3 linked regions of the Saccharomyces cerevisiae S288C genome follow. Changing the gene in region 2 together with the main gene of any one other region gives a genetic interaction. Each region holds a gene or a part of one and is shown on either strand. Other genes may lie near its edges.

Region 1 (4,056 bases), on a different chromosome or scaffold from region 2:
CGGCAGAGCTATCATCGTCGTTTAATTGCGGAAGATAATTCTCAATTGGCTCTTCTTGTTGAAAGGCTTCCTGGAAGAATTGAGGAATGACATAGGCAGAGCCTAAATTGGTAGCGTAAAACGCAGCGACAGCCAATTGCTTCAAAGAAAAGTGCATGGTTGGCGTTTCTGTTTTTTTTTTTTTTTTGGCTTCTTCTACCAATTGTTGAAAGGCTGAACATGGTTTTGTTCCCATCCATTGTTCCTCGCTTTTATATTGAAAAAAGAAAAATTTTCCTAAGGACCCCTTCTTCCTGAGGGTTAATTTAAGGGAATTCAAAGTGTGTCAATAGTAATTAATAGAACTAATCAATATATTCAGTATAACTTTTATTATTAATAGTATATGATATTACTTTTTGAACTATATATTTATGGAAGCACAAAAACATAGAGAACACTCTTTCTGACGATAAGAAAGGTGATTATATCAAGATATATAATGAAGCAGCTCAATTGTCTTATTTCTTGTATCTCAAGTAGCTCCTTCTAGTGCTACACTTTAGTATTCTGCTTTGTTTATCATCGAACCTATCAAATTCCACGGAATCCTCTGGTGAATATGTGTTCTGGTGCCGTGTTGAGTTATCGTTATCCAATTTGTGTTCATTGGCGACAAGGCCCTTTTTCAGCTCATTCAAATCTATGCAATGATTATTAACGCCTTTCTTATCAATGGCAACCTTACCCAAATTGTTTCTGTTTCTAGTCAGGATTGTAGCCATTTCTCTATCTGAAATGTCCGCCTCCATGCTATCGTCAGTGGGGCTTTCTAAGGATTTTATGTTTATGAAACCATTGTTTTCATTGCAATAGATTATTTCAATGGGGGAAGGCTCTTGCTTTTTAAAGGAGAATAGACTATCAAAATATGAGAACCTAGAAAATATGGTCATTGTCAACTATAAGCGAGCTTAGAGATTTCGAATTGTTATGTTATAAATGGAGTGATAAGACTCTTGTTTGAGGCTTGGGCTTTTTGATTTATATTAAATTAAGATATGTAAAAAAAAAAATAAATTAAAAAACGTGTGTTCTATTTACAGTATCTACTTACTTATTTGTTTATATATTCCATTAGTTTACTTATCTTTATCCTTAACCTTTTTTTTTTGTGTGTGTGGGGAAGGGCGGTACATAATATTAGCGTCACAATATGCGCCCCTCGAAGAAACATGAGCGAATTCACGCAATTATGAGTCGCCACTCCCCTGCGAGAGTGCTACTGCGATATTGACGTCTGATGATCGGAACGTTATGCTCTAAACTTGTATTTGGTTTACAATCATACCACTTGTCTACAAACCCAGTGTTTTCCACGAAGTAGTCATGGCTGGCTAAGGAAACGCCGAGCCATTTGTTCTTTAGGGTACTTGAAAATCCACTGGTTATGACACTGTTTCTTAGAAGTTCGCATAAATCTGCTGAATGTAAACGGTATATACTAGCCGCTACACTATACTCTTCTATAATGGGTTCTTTCGTATACGAATTGTTGTAGAGGATAGATTCTGAGCTCAGCGATATCTTGAACCCCATTTCAAAAAACTTCATGAAAGGGTTCTTCTTATAAGGCTTTGAGGGCTCTAGGACAAGCCCCGTCGGGGCTTGTTCTTGCAGCATTGTAGGCTTTGAATCTACTATGGAATTCAAAGGCGCCACAACCATGGGAATTTGACTTAGATAGAAAAGATACACCAGTGATGGTGGTGCATTCCAGAGATTTTCTGCATTTAGAAACCCTCCACAGGCGAGCAAGAAATTGTTTAAAATAGCTTCCGTATGTTCTGTGAAGTTCAGTGTATTACTAAACTGTGAAGTTCGATTCATTGAGGTGGGAGAACATGAACTTCTCAAAGTGAAGGTATTTTGATGAAGGGCTTGGCGGATATGGTTCAATTTTGTTAGGTTGACGTAGACGTAATACATATATTGTGAAATGGTTGGATTATCACCGCCAGATGTCCAATCTTTTGGCAAGCAACTAACTGCTGTGAAGTTTTTCCAAATATAGTTGTCCGTATCTTGAATACATAGATCAATCGAAGATACTTGAGAAAGAAATTTCAAAAGAATAGGTCCTAATGACTTGTGTAGATAATTTTCGGCATTGAAAAGTGGTTTGAAGATTAGATTTAAATACTCCTGAAAATTCTTCACCTTGCCAGTATGATACAGTTCTGGATAAATTCTAGAAATGCGAATATTCCAGCGAATATTGTTAGAAAATATATTATAGTGGTTCAGCCAATTGGCAAAGACCATCCACCAATTGTCCACATCGGAATTATCGTAATGCAGATAAAATTGGAAGTCCACGGAGAGTTGACATAACTGATATTTCGACTCCTCTTGCGGTTTTATTAAAAACGTTTTCAGTAGTTCCGCTAAGTATTCACCATTAATATAGTTATCAAACTCCAAAAATGTTTTCGCAATCAAATAGTATCGAAGCTGCTTACCGTGTGAGCCTGTGTGTATTTCCATTTCATCGTTAACCAAATGATATTTTGCGAGATAAATAACTTTATACCACTCCAAAAATGAATCGTCAATAATTTTCAACCCATTGAAGAACTGACCGGTCTCCTCGAAATTCACTTTGAATAATTGGCTCAAGGTTATATGACTACCATTAAAAGCTTGATGGATAACCCTGTCCGGTTCTTTTCTCAACTTGGTCCAAATAAACTCAGTCAATTGCCACTGTGAGAAACAGCCGCTTAACAGAAGATTCAGATCAATCTTTCTACAGTTGTAAAAATCCTTGTGTGGCACCTTTTTGCTCTGTCTCATTTCTTCCTTGGAATGTAGGTGTTGAAAAACTGGAAACTTATTTACAAGATATTGTAATCTTTTTTCGCTAAACCTTGATAGGCTTCTATCTCTTATAATTTTCAAGCACCATTCAAAATCTTCCCTAAATTCTTTAAAAGTGGGGATATTAATCTGACTGTTGAACAATTCCGTCATATAATTACCATCCTGGAGGAGGTTTACAGTATTACTTTCCTCTAGATCAAGAAAGTGACGTATTCCAAATAATTTTTCTTTTACAGGTTTAAGATAACCCCCAGCCACTCTTGAATGAAGCTGCGGACATGACAAAGCATCTTGTTTACTTATAGTTAGATAATTTCGCCTTAACTTAGACATTTCCAACAGGCATTTGCGGTCTATGCGGAAATGTGTTTGCTCAAAGAAATAGCTAGGAAGGTGAGCCAAGGATGAATATGCTAGATCTTTTGTTTTTAAAGGTTCGACAGGAGGTGGCGTTTCTGCCGGCATCGCCATGGGTGAACCCATCTCCATCTGCATATCGAACTTCGTATTTAGTGGGACCATATCAAGATCATCCAAATGCAATACTACGTCAGTATTACTATCCTCGAAGATTTGAGCTCGAGGATTTCTTACTCGAGCTTGTGATGTAATTCCTACGTCCCCGTCGAAAGCTAAACCCTGATCCGACACAGCGTCATTTCCATCCAGGTCGTCCAAGCGTATTGGTGAAGTGGAAGGGCTCTCCTTATAAGAGTCGCATTCAACGAAAAAAACCGATTCATTGTTCTGTACCATTGTTTGTGTGATACCCTGATAAGTCCTCCTTTTCCTGTACTATTTACTAAAGATGTCGCCTGTCCTACTTATACTGTTTGTATCCACTGAACGCGGGCGCAAACTCTTTGCCACCCCCGTATTTAGCCGCCAACGATATTTTTGCGTCCAATGATAATAACCGTTGATAGTACCGAAACAACAGAGAACAACCATCATACACTCATGCCAAATTATAAGAACAGACACTGTTGAGACTGTTAACGATATTCTTTCATAACGTGAAACATAAAGTTGTTGAGATACCTTTCTTTTTATTGCTACCGGCCACTTTGAACTACATTACAAGTTATATTCGATTTGCAGCCATATATGTGACTTCAACTGCCCTGAATTGCTTTTCATAATGCATAAGGACTATCCTCGTCTTAGGTTTAATCATTCCTCTGTCTGTACTTA
Region 2 (2,779 bases):
GAATGCTTATCTTTTTCCTTCGTTGAACAGTAATTTTTCATATTTAAATAAGTTGGAAATTCAATAAAATCGTCTAGTTTTCTGTTACTTCCATTAAGTAGGTGTTCGAATCTTTTCAATTGCAAAACCAAAACCGATGGTAATTTGTGTATGCCTAGTTGCTTTATTGCATCTTGAGTGCTGTTACACTCCCCACAATGATAGTTGAAATCCTTCAACTGTTCTTTTTTATGGAAACTGTCAAGACATTCATAAAGTTTTTTCTTATCCTTGATATCCAGAGAAAGATCCAAGAATGGATCAATGGTTGTCTTTGAATTATTTTGACAGCCTGGACACACAATAGAACTTTCCAAGGAGCCCTCAAACACAGTATGCACTATGCATTCACACTGCTTATTATTTGCTCTGCTGACTTCCTTGGCATTTGGCAAATCAAGAACATAGCTTTGGTGGATTTGGTTAATTATAAACTGCCAAAATTCATGAGCATCTTGTTGTGAATACCCTGCTAGATTTTGATTGATTTTCCAGGCACAAGTTAAAAGATATATGAATCCGGTTTGCCGATTAGTAGATGTAGATGACGAAGAAGCTTGCTTTGTATTCAGCGCTCCATAAAGTTCATGAACAATTTTATCGAGTGCACATGAAAAACATTTATCTGGAGAACGCACTTTACAATTATTAGAATGAATTTGACTCATTGAGTGCCTAATAAAGTAAGGGTTATGGATTAGACATTGGAGAATACTACTCATGAAACAAGTGGATCCCATGTTGATCAGGCCAGAAAGCCCATCTCTTCTTTCCATGCTAGGAACCATGGTCTTTGTGCACACGTCGTCCCAATACTTCGCTAGGATAGCATCGTTAATCAGATCGATATTCCCTATATAGTCCTCACATTTGAAGCAAAATAAAAGGCCATTATTTGAGTTGATACCAAATATGTGACCAATCTGTTTACTGTGAGAGAGAAAATGCGAATGGTTCCAACATCCACAAAATCCACATTGTAGACACATGAAAGTTGCACCAGAGTTTATTTCGTGGCATGTACCACATTTCATGGTGTTTAAGAATTTTTCCTTGGGTACGGAATGATTTAATATATACCTGGCAGCATTGCACGTTTTTAGAACCCCATCTTTAGACTTTTCATTCTGAAATACTTGCTGTATATGTGGACAAATGCTCATAATTATTAATAACAAATAAAAAAAGCAGGGTTTCAAGTAGGACGACGAGGACCGAAGCTGTAGTTTTCCCTTTTGATCCGATCAATAAATAGTATTCAAAATTATGACAGCCAGTTGAAAGAAATGGACTAACTGGTCTCAAAAGAAAACCTTTATTATTATCCGTAAAATATCTTTTTAGAATTAATCAGGTCCACTAATATAATCCCTTTGCTATTACGACAGCTTTCTAGCCCATATACAATATAAATTATTGATGCTTTTTACACACTATAATCGAGGATTTTTTTTCACTTGAAAAATTCAAAGAAAAGCAAAAAAAGGAAGAATAGAGAAGAAAAAAAAGGTATAAGTGAAGAAAGAATGTGCAATACTACAAGACTATAAGATTTAATAGCTGTAACCATGACGAAGAATGTATTGATGTTACATGGGCTTGCGCAGTCAGGTGACTACTTTGCCTCTAAGACAAAGGGGTTTCGCGCCGAAATGGAAAAGTTAGGATATAAACTCTACTATCCAACAGCACCCAATGAATTTCCCCCAGCTGATGTTCCTGATTTCTTGGGTGAGGTAATTGCTGATGCACCTGGGGATGGTGAGAATACCGGTGTGCTTGCGTGGCTAGAGAATGACCCTTCCACCGGTGGCTATTTCATACCGCAGACGACAATCGACTATTTACACAATTATGTCCTTGAAAATGGTCCATTTGCAGGTATTGTAGGATTTAGTCAAGGAGCCGGTGTAGCTGGATACCTAGCAACGGATTTCAATGGTTTGTTGGGCCTTACAACAGAAGAACAGCCGCCGCTAGAATTTTTCATGGCGGTCAGTGGTTTCAGGTTCCAACCACAACAGTATCAAGAACAGTACGACCTGCATCCAATATCGGTCCCATCTCTACATGTTCAAGGAGAACTTGACACTATCACAGAGCCGGCCAAAGTGCAAGGCCTATATAACTCTTGTACGGAAGACTCTCGCACTTTACTAATGCACTCTGGGGGCCACTTTGTGCCGAACTCAAGAGGGTTTGTGAGAAAAGTGGCTCAATGGCTCCAGCAGTTGACCTGAGGCAAGTATATATAGCACGTAATCTTCACATAATCTTCACATACATATTTATACATGATTAAATCCTCCGGGTAATAATACGTCAAATTAACTTAACTACCGATACGATGCTTCATTATGATAACGATAACAATGGCATCTATAAATGATTTTATTCCTCGTTAGGCCAGTATTAGGGCAGTAAAGACTGTAATGACCAGTACAAGAACGTTGAGATACGCACAGGTTGCCTGTGCTTGTATCTGGTGTCTTTTTTCAGCTGGTATTATCTTTGGATTTGCTGCTTTGAAACCTATTTTAATTTCAGAAGGTGTATACCATGAATTGTGTGATCCTAAGGATGGTGATAGATTATTATGTACTGCACAGGATCTGAAATTAAATTTTATATTTGCTCTCAGTGCTACTGTAACAAACATCATGGCCCTTCCTGTCGGTAAGATTTTGGATATGTATGGACCTCGTGTCTGCGGAATAATAGGATCATGTCTCTTGTTCCT
Region 3 (5,173 bases), on a different chromosome or scaffold from region 2:
ACTCAGATCTTCGACTGACTTTATGCATTTTAGTATTTATATATTCATTCGATCTATTCTGTTTACTTAAAAATTAAAGATGAGTTGGATGTGGAAAATTCTTGACGTTCCGCTGATATTTTGTGTTGGGGTTGTTTTTGGGACCATGAGATTGCCATGAACCGATCAATCTTGTCTCATCTTCAAGTATCTCTTCACCACTTCATCCTTCTTGATGATGTATACTACAGCTCCCCAGCCTGATAGAGCGTCACGGTCAGCAGCATTCAGTAGGGCCTGACTTATAGTTTCGAAAAGATCTTCTGGCTCTAGATTAGGTTCGTACAGGGACTCACACATACCGAACAGTTGGTCGGATGCAGTACCGCTAACGATAAAATCCTTGGCCTCGTCGATACAGCCGATTAGGTCGAATCCCGCAATAAAGGGCTTCCCGGACTTGGAATTAATACCTGCTACCACCGGCCCCACAAAGTATGGACCGAATCTTCTTTCATAAAGTGAACTTGACACTAATTGGGTAAACGTTTCAGGCTCAATGGCCCTTTCTTCCTTCAACTTATATAGGTTCGTCTTGTAGCGGAACATCTCGTTCAGAGTAGTCACGTCGGTAGCCAGACCGGTAATCCCTAAGAACACATGCCCATAGTGGAAGATTTTTTCAAACTTGTTCGACACACCTAGTGACTGGCTTCCGAGACGCAAATCACAGGCAATGGCCACACAGTCTTTACCTGTCATCGCAACGACGATACCACCGTTAATAGAACTTGGATCCGACATTTTTTTTTTATGCTTTATTCACTGTTCAATATTTTCACCACAATTCGCAAGAAACGCACTCTACTTCGAAACTACGGTTCAAACTTACTTAGCAGCTTCCCGATTTAATTGGCCTTTCTACTATGCCATAAACTCTTTCTTCCTCTCTTTTCATCGCCCCTGCATTTGCACTTTTTTGCCACCGGCAGTGCCATCCGGTCACATGACTACACCACGTTAATAGCGATCTGGCTTATCATTGTCACAGAGTAAATTAAAATGGACGGTAAATGTTGGAAATGCACCACTACCGTTCTTCAACCAATCTAGTTTAGCTATCCTGCAACAGGTGGCCTTCTTGAGCATTCCCTGAGCATTCCAACCGGTTGTATCAGTGTTTTATCACCGTCTCACCATATCCCACGACTAGGCCACACTTCGTTACCCTATGCTACGCGTCATTTCCGCTATTTCTGTCCTGGTTTGTTTACAGTACGCGTGGTGGGACCATAAAGGGGAATAGTGGGGACTGGAGAAAAAATTTTCTCAGTTACTTCTTCTATCTTCCGTAGTTTCCATATACTAGTAGTTGAGTGTAGCGACAAAGAGCAGACGTAGTTATTTGTTAAAGGCCTACTAATTTGTTATCGTCATATGTCTCAAGTTCAAGAACAACATATATCAGAGTCACAGCTTCAGTACGGGAACGGTTCGTTGATGTCCACTGTACCAGCAGACCTTTCACAGTCAGTCGTTGATGGAAACGGCAACGGTAGCAGCGAAGATATTGAGGCCACCAACGGCTCCGGCGATGGTGGCGGATTGCAGGAGCAAGCGGAAGCGCAAGGTGAAATGGAGGATGAAGCATACGATGAAGCTGCCTTAGGTTCGTTTGTGCCAATAGAAAAACTGCAAGTGAACGGGATTACTATGGCGGATGTGAAAAAACTAAGGGAGAGTGGGCTTCACACTGCTGAAGCGGTAGCATATGCTCCCAGAAAGGATTTATTGGAAATCAAAGGTATATCGGAAGCTAAGGCAGATAAGTTGCTAAACGAAGCGGCAAGGCTAGTGCCTATGGGATTTGTCACGGCTGCTGATTTTCATATGAGAAGATCGGAGCTGATTTGTTTGACAACGGGTTCTAAGAATTTGGACACTCTTTTGGGTGGTGGTGTGGAAACTGGTTCTATTACTGAGCTTTTCGGTGAATTCAGGACAGGTAAGTCCCAGCTATGTCACACTTTGGCCGTGACATGCCAAATTCCATTGGATATTGGTGGCGGTGAAGGTAAGTGTTTGTATATCGATACCGAAGGTACTTTCAGGCCGGTAAGATTGGTATCCATAGCTCAGCGGTTCGGATTAGACCCGGATGATGCTTTGAACAACGTTGCGTATGCAAGAGCCTATAACGCCGATCATCAGTTAAGACTTCTGGATGCTGCTGCCCAAATGATGAGCGAGTCTCGGTTTTCCTTGATTGTGGTCGATTCTGTTATGGCTCTATACCGTACGGATTTTTCTGGTCGTGGTGAACTAAGCGCAAGGCAAATGCATTTAGCCAAATTTATGCGTGCTTTGCAAAGGCTGGCCGACCAATTTGGTGTTGCAGTCGTCGTTACTAACCAAGTGGTCGCCCAAGTTGATGGTGGTATGGCTTTTAATCCAGATCCAAAGAAGCCTATCGGTGGTAATATTATGGCACATTCTTCCACCACGCGATTAGGTTTCAAAAAGGGTAAGGGATGTCAAAGATTATGCAAAGTTGTTGACTCACCTTGCTTACCAGAGGCTGAATGTGTGTTCGCGATCTATGAAGATGGTGTTGGTGACCCCAGAGAAGAAGACGAGTAGGTATTTGGTCTCTTGTCTCTATTTATTTACACAGGTTTACTTTCAATTCTCCTCTTTTTCTTAGGTTGCGTTCCGTACATTTTTATCTTCATTTCCATCCACTGTCTTAGATTTTTGCATATATTTTGTCATATACCTCGCAACCCTACTGCGGTCTTAACCTTTTTTTTCAGTTCTTTTAAATAACTTTCGTATTGTCTGTCACCCATGAAATATATGTATTTTTCTACTCTTCTTCCCGATGACTACTTCCTCCTGCAGGGTCCGCGCGGCTTTATCCTTTTAGGGGAGTGAAGAGAAAAATTTTCTGATATGTCGCCATCCTCTTATAAAACCAACGTAAAATACCATACACTTCTTTATGGCAATGAATTTCCTTGTCTTCGTTTCGACGTTTTTAAATTGAATAAAAAATTGTACTTGGAAAAAAGAATAGAACAATACTTTTGCTAACAGCAAGAGAAGTACGGTTGACATTACGAGTATCCCTTTGTTAAAATCAGGCAGTACCCATAATGTCCATGACTATTTGCTCAAATACTCCTGGTGCATACCCTGAAATTGGAGCTTATAATGAGGTTGATAAACAGTTGGAATCAAGCGGATTCTCCTCTGATTCCTCTCTGATATTGAATAAACCAGAAGTTCGTCAATACTGGTCATCCGTTTCATCTCATATTTCACGCTCAGGTGATGTGTTTACAAATGATAAAGAAAAAATTTCATCCTCTATTGGTGAGGATGCGATGGATATCGACGCTTCGCCCTCATTGATTGAAAAATATAACTCTTTTCCCACAAGAAAGATTCTTCCTGAGCAGGACGAGTTTGAGAACGACGTTGAGGACGATGCTTCTTCCTCACTGAAGGAAAAATCACAAGGTTCTTGTGAAATTGAAATTGCTTCTGAAATTTCATCCGAAATTTTAAATGGCACATCGGCAGACGGTAATTCCGAGTTTCACGACTTCGCTGAGCCCCCTCCCTCTCAGAATGAATCTGTCGCTCTGTCTTTTAGTCAATCGAATGATTTGGACTTTTTGAATAATCCAAGCGGATCAGGCTCTTCAAACGATATCAATAGAAGTACAAGTTCCATTTCACTTCCTAGACATGTGTCACTAGATTTTAACGTTTACAATAGTCTTTGCCTCACAAATGAGGTGACTGCATCAGAATCACATAATGTGGCCAAATTTCACCTTGGCAAGAAAAACAAGAAGAGCTTGCTACCAAGATGGAAAACCATTGAAATGTACGGGGAGGTAGTTAAGAAAACTCAAGACATATATTCTAATTTTCAGTATGCACAATACATTTTAAGGGTAGGGTTGGATACCGAAAAACTACACGAACTTGTTAAGGAACTGGAGGATGAAAGCAATAGCTTCTCTGTAGATTCTTTAAAGGAATATTTAGTGAACGATGCCAAAGTTATTTTGAAGAAACTAAGTGCCGTTGGATACCCTGATGCACAGTACCTTCTAGGTGACGCCTACTCCTCTGGAGTTTTCGGTAAAATAAAGAATAGAAGAGCATTTCTTTTATTCTCCGCTGCAGCCAAAAGAATGCACATCGAAAGTGTTTACAGAACTGCCATTTGCTATGAGTGCGGCTTGGGTGTAACCAGAAATGCACCGAAGGCGGTTAACTTTTTGACTTTTGCTGCAACTAAGAACCATCCTGCAGCAATGTACAAATTAGGAGTATATTCGTATCATGGTTTGATGGGTCTTCCAGATGATATTCTAACCAAAATGGATGGTTATAGATGGTTGCGAAGGGCTACATCTATGGCTAGCAGCTTTGTTTGTGGTGCTCCTTTTGAATTAGCCAATATTTATATGACGGGATATAAAGATCTTATCATTTCGGATCCAGATTATGCTATGGCATTGTATGAGAAGGCGGCGGCTTTAGGGCATACTGAATCGGCAAGAATACTAGAAGACGCTCGCAGAAGTGGAGGGTTTGTTTCGCGAGGACATCCTCCTTCGGCACAGAAATATCATAAAACCTCCCATGAAGCTGTGGCAGCCAAAAAGTTGATTTAATAGATAAATACAAACTTCGTTTTCCTTTTATTTTGTTGTTTTTTTTTTCACAAACTGTGGAAGTTCGATTAACTTTAGAAGTTTGTTTGATCAAAAATAGACTGATCCTCACACCTTTCGTTACTATTTGTTACTTTGCTGTATATCGAATAAATAAACCTGACTAAACTCCTTCTGTTATTTAGCGCAGATCCTATATGCTGCATTTTTAGATGTATTTGAGCACTACTATCGTTAATGCCGTGGCATTGGCTATGGACCAGTTAAGTCACGGCCTTTCTTAGTTCTATCATATACGACGTTATACTTATTTACTTTCCCAGCGTTGAAATTAATGTGTCTTTTTCATAATATTTACTTTTTGGTGCGGAAATCTGTAATATTTTAAAACAAAATCTCATCCTTTTGAAAAGAAACGATGAAGAAAAAAAATAATAACATACATTGTACCTTCACTAACACTTGTAAAACAAACGCTTACATTATAATGGCACAAATGA

The links.
Region 1: mutations in FSH2 (region 2) and HAB1 together harm fitness more than expected from each alone (negative genetic interaction), as found in Saccharomyces cerevisiae (one large-scale study listed by BioGRID).
Region 3: mutations in FSH2 (region 2) and SHC1 together harm fitness more than expected from each alone (negative genetic interaction), as found in Saccharomyces cerevisiae (one large-scale study listed by BioGRID).

The regions. Positions count from the first base shown.
Region 1 is NC_001134.8:770,801-774,856, reverse strand, and holds HAB1 (Hab1p), read right to left. Parts: upstream 936-4,056; coding exon 501-935; downstream 1-500. Other genes in the region: APE3 (aminopeptidase Y), read right to left, coding at 1-157; YBR284W (metallo-dependent hydrolase superfamily protein), read right to left, coding at 1,225-3,618.
Region 2 is NC_001145.3:715,138-717,916, reverse strand, and holds FSH2 (putative serine hydrolase), read left to right. Parts: upstream 1-1,607; coding exon 1,608-2,279; downstream 2,280-2,779. Other genes in the region: ubiquitin-specific protease UBP8, read right to left, coding at 1-1,202; FMP42 (Fmp42p), read left to right, coding at 2,472-2,779. UniProt on the Saccharomyces cerevisiae protein: Serine hydrolase of unknown specificity.
Region 3 is NC_001137.3:348,564-353,736, forward strand, and holds SHC1 (Shc1p), read left to right. Parts: upstream 1-3,134; coding exon 3,135-4,673; downstream 4,674-5,173. Other genes in the region: PUP3 (proteasome core particle subunit beta 3), read right to left, coding at 166-783; recombinase RAD51, read left to right, coding at 1,417-2,619. UniProt on the Saccharomyces cerevisiae protein: Required for the activation of chitin synthase III (CHS3) activity during the sporulation process.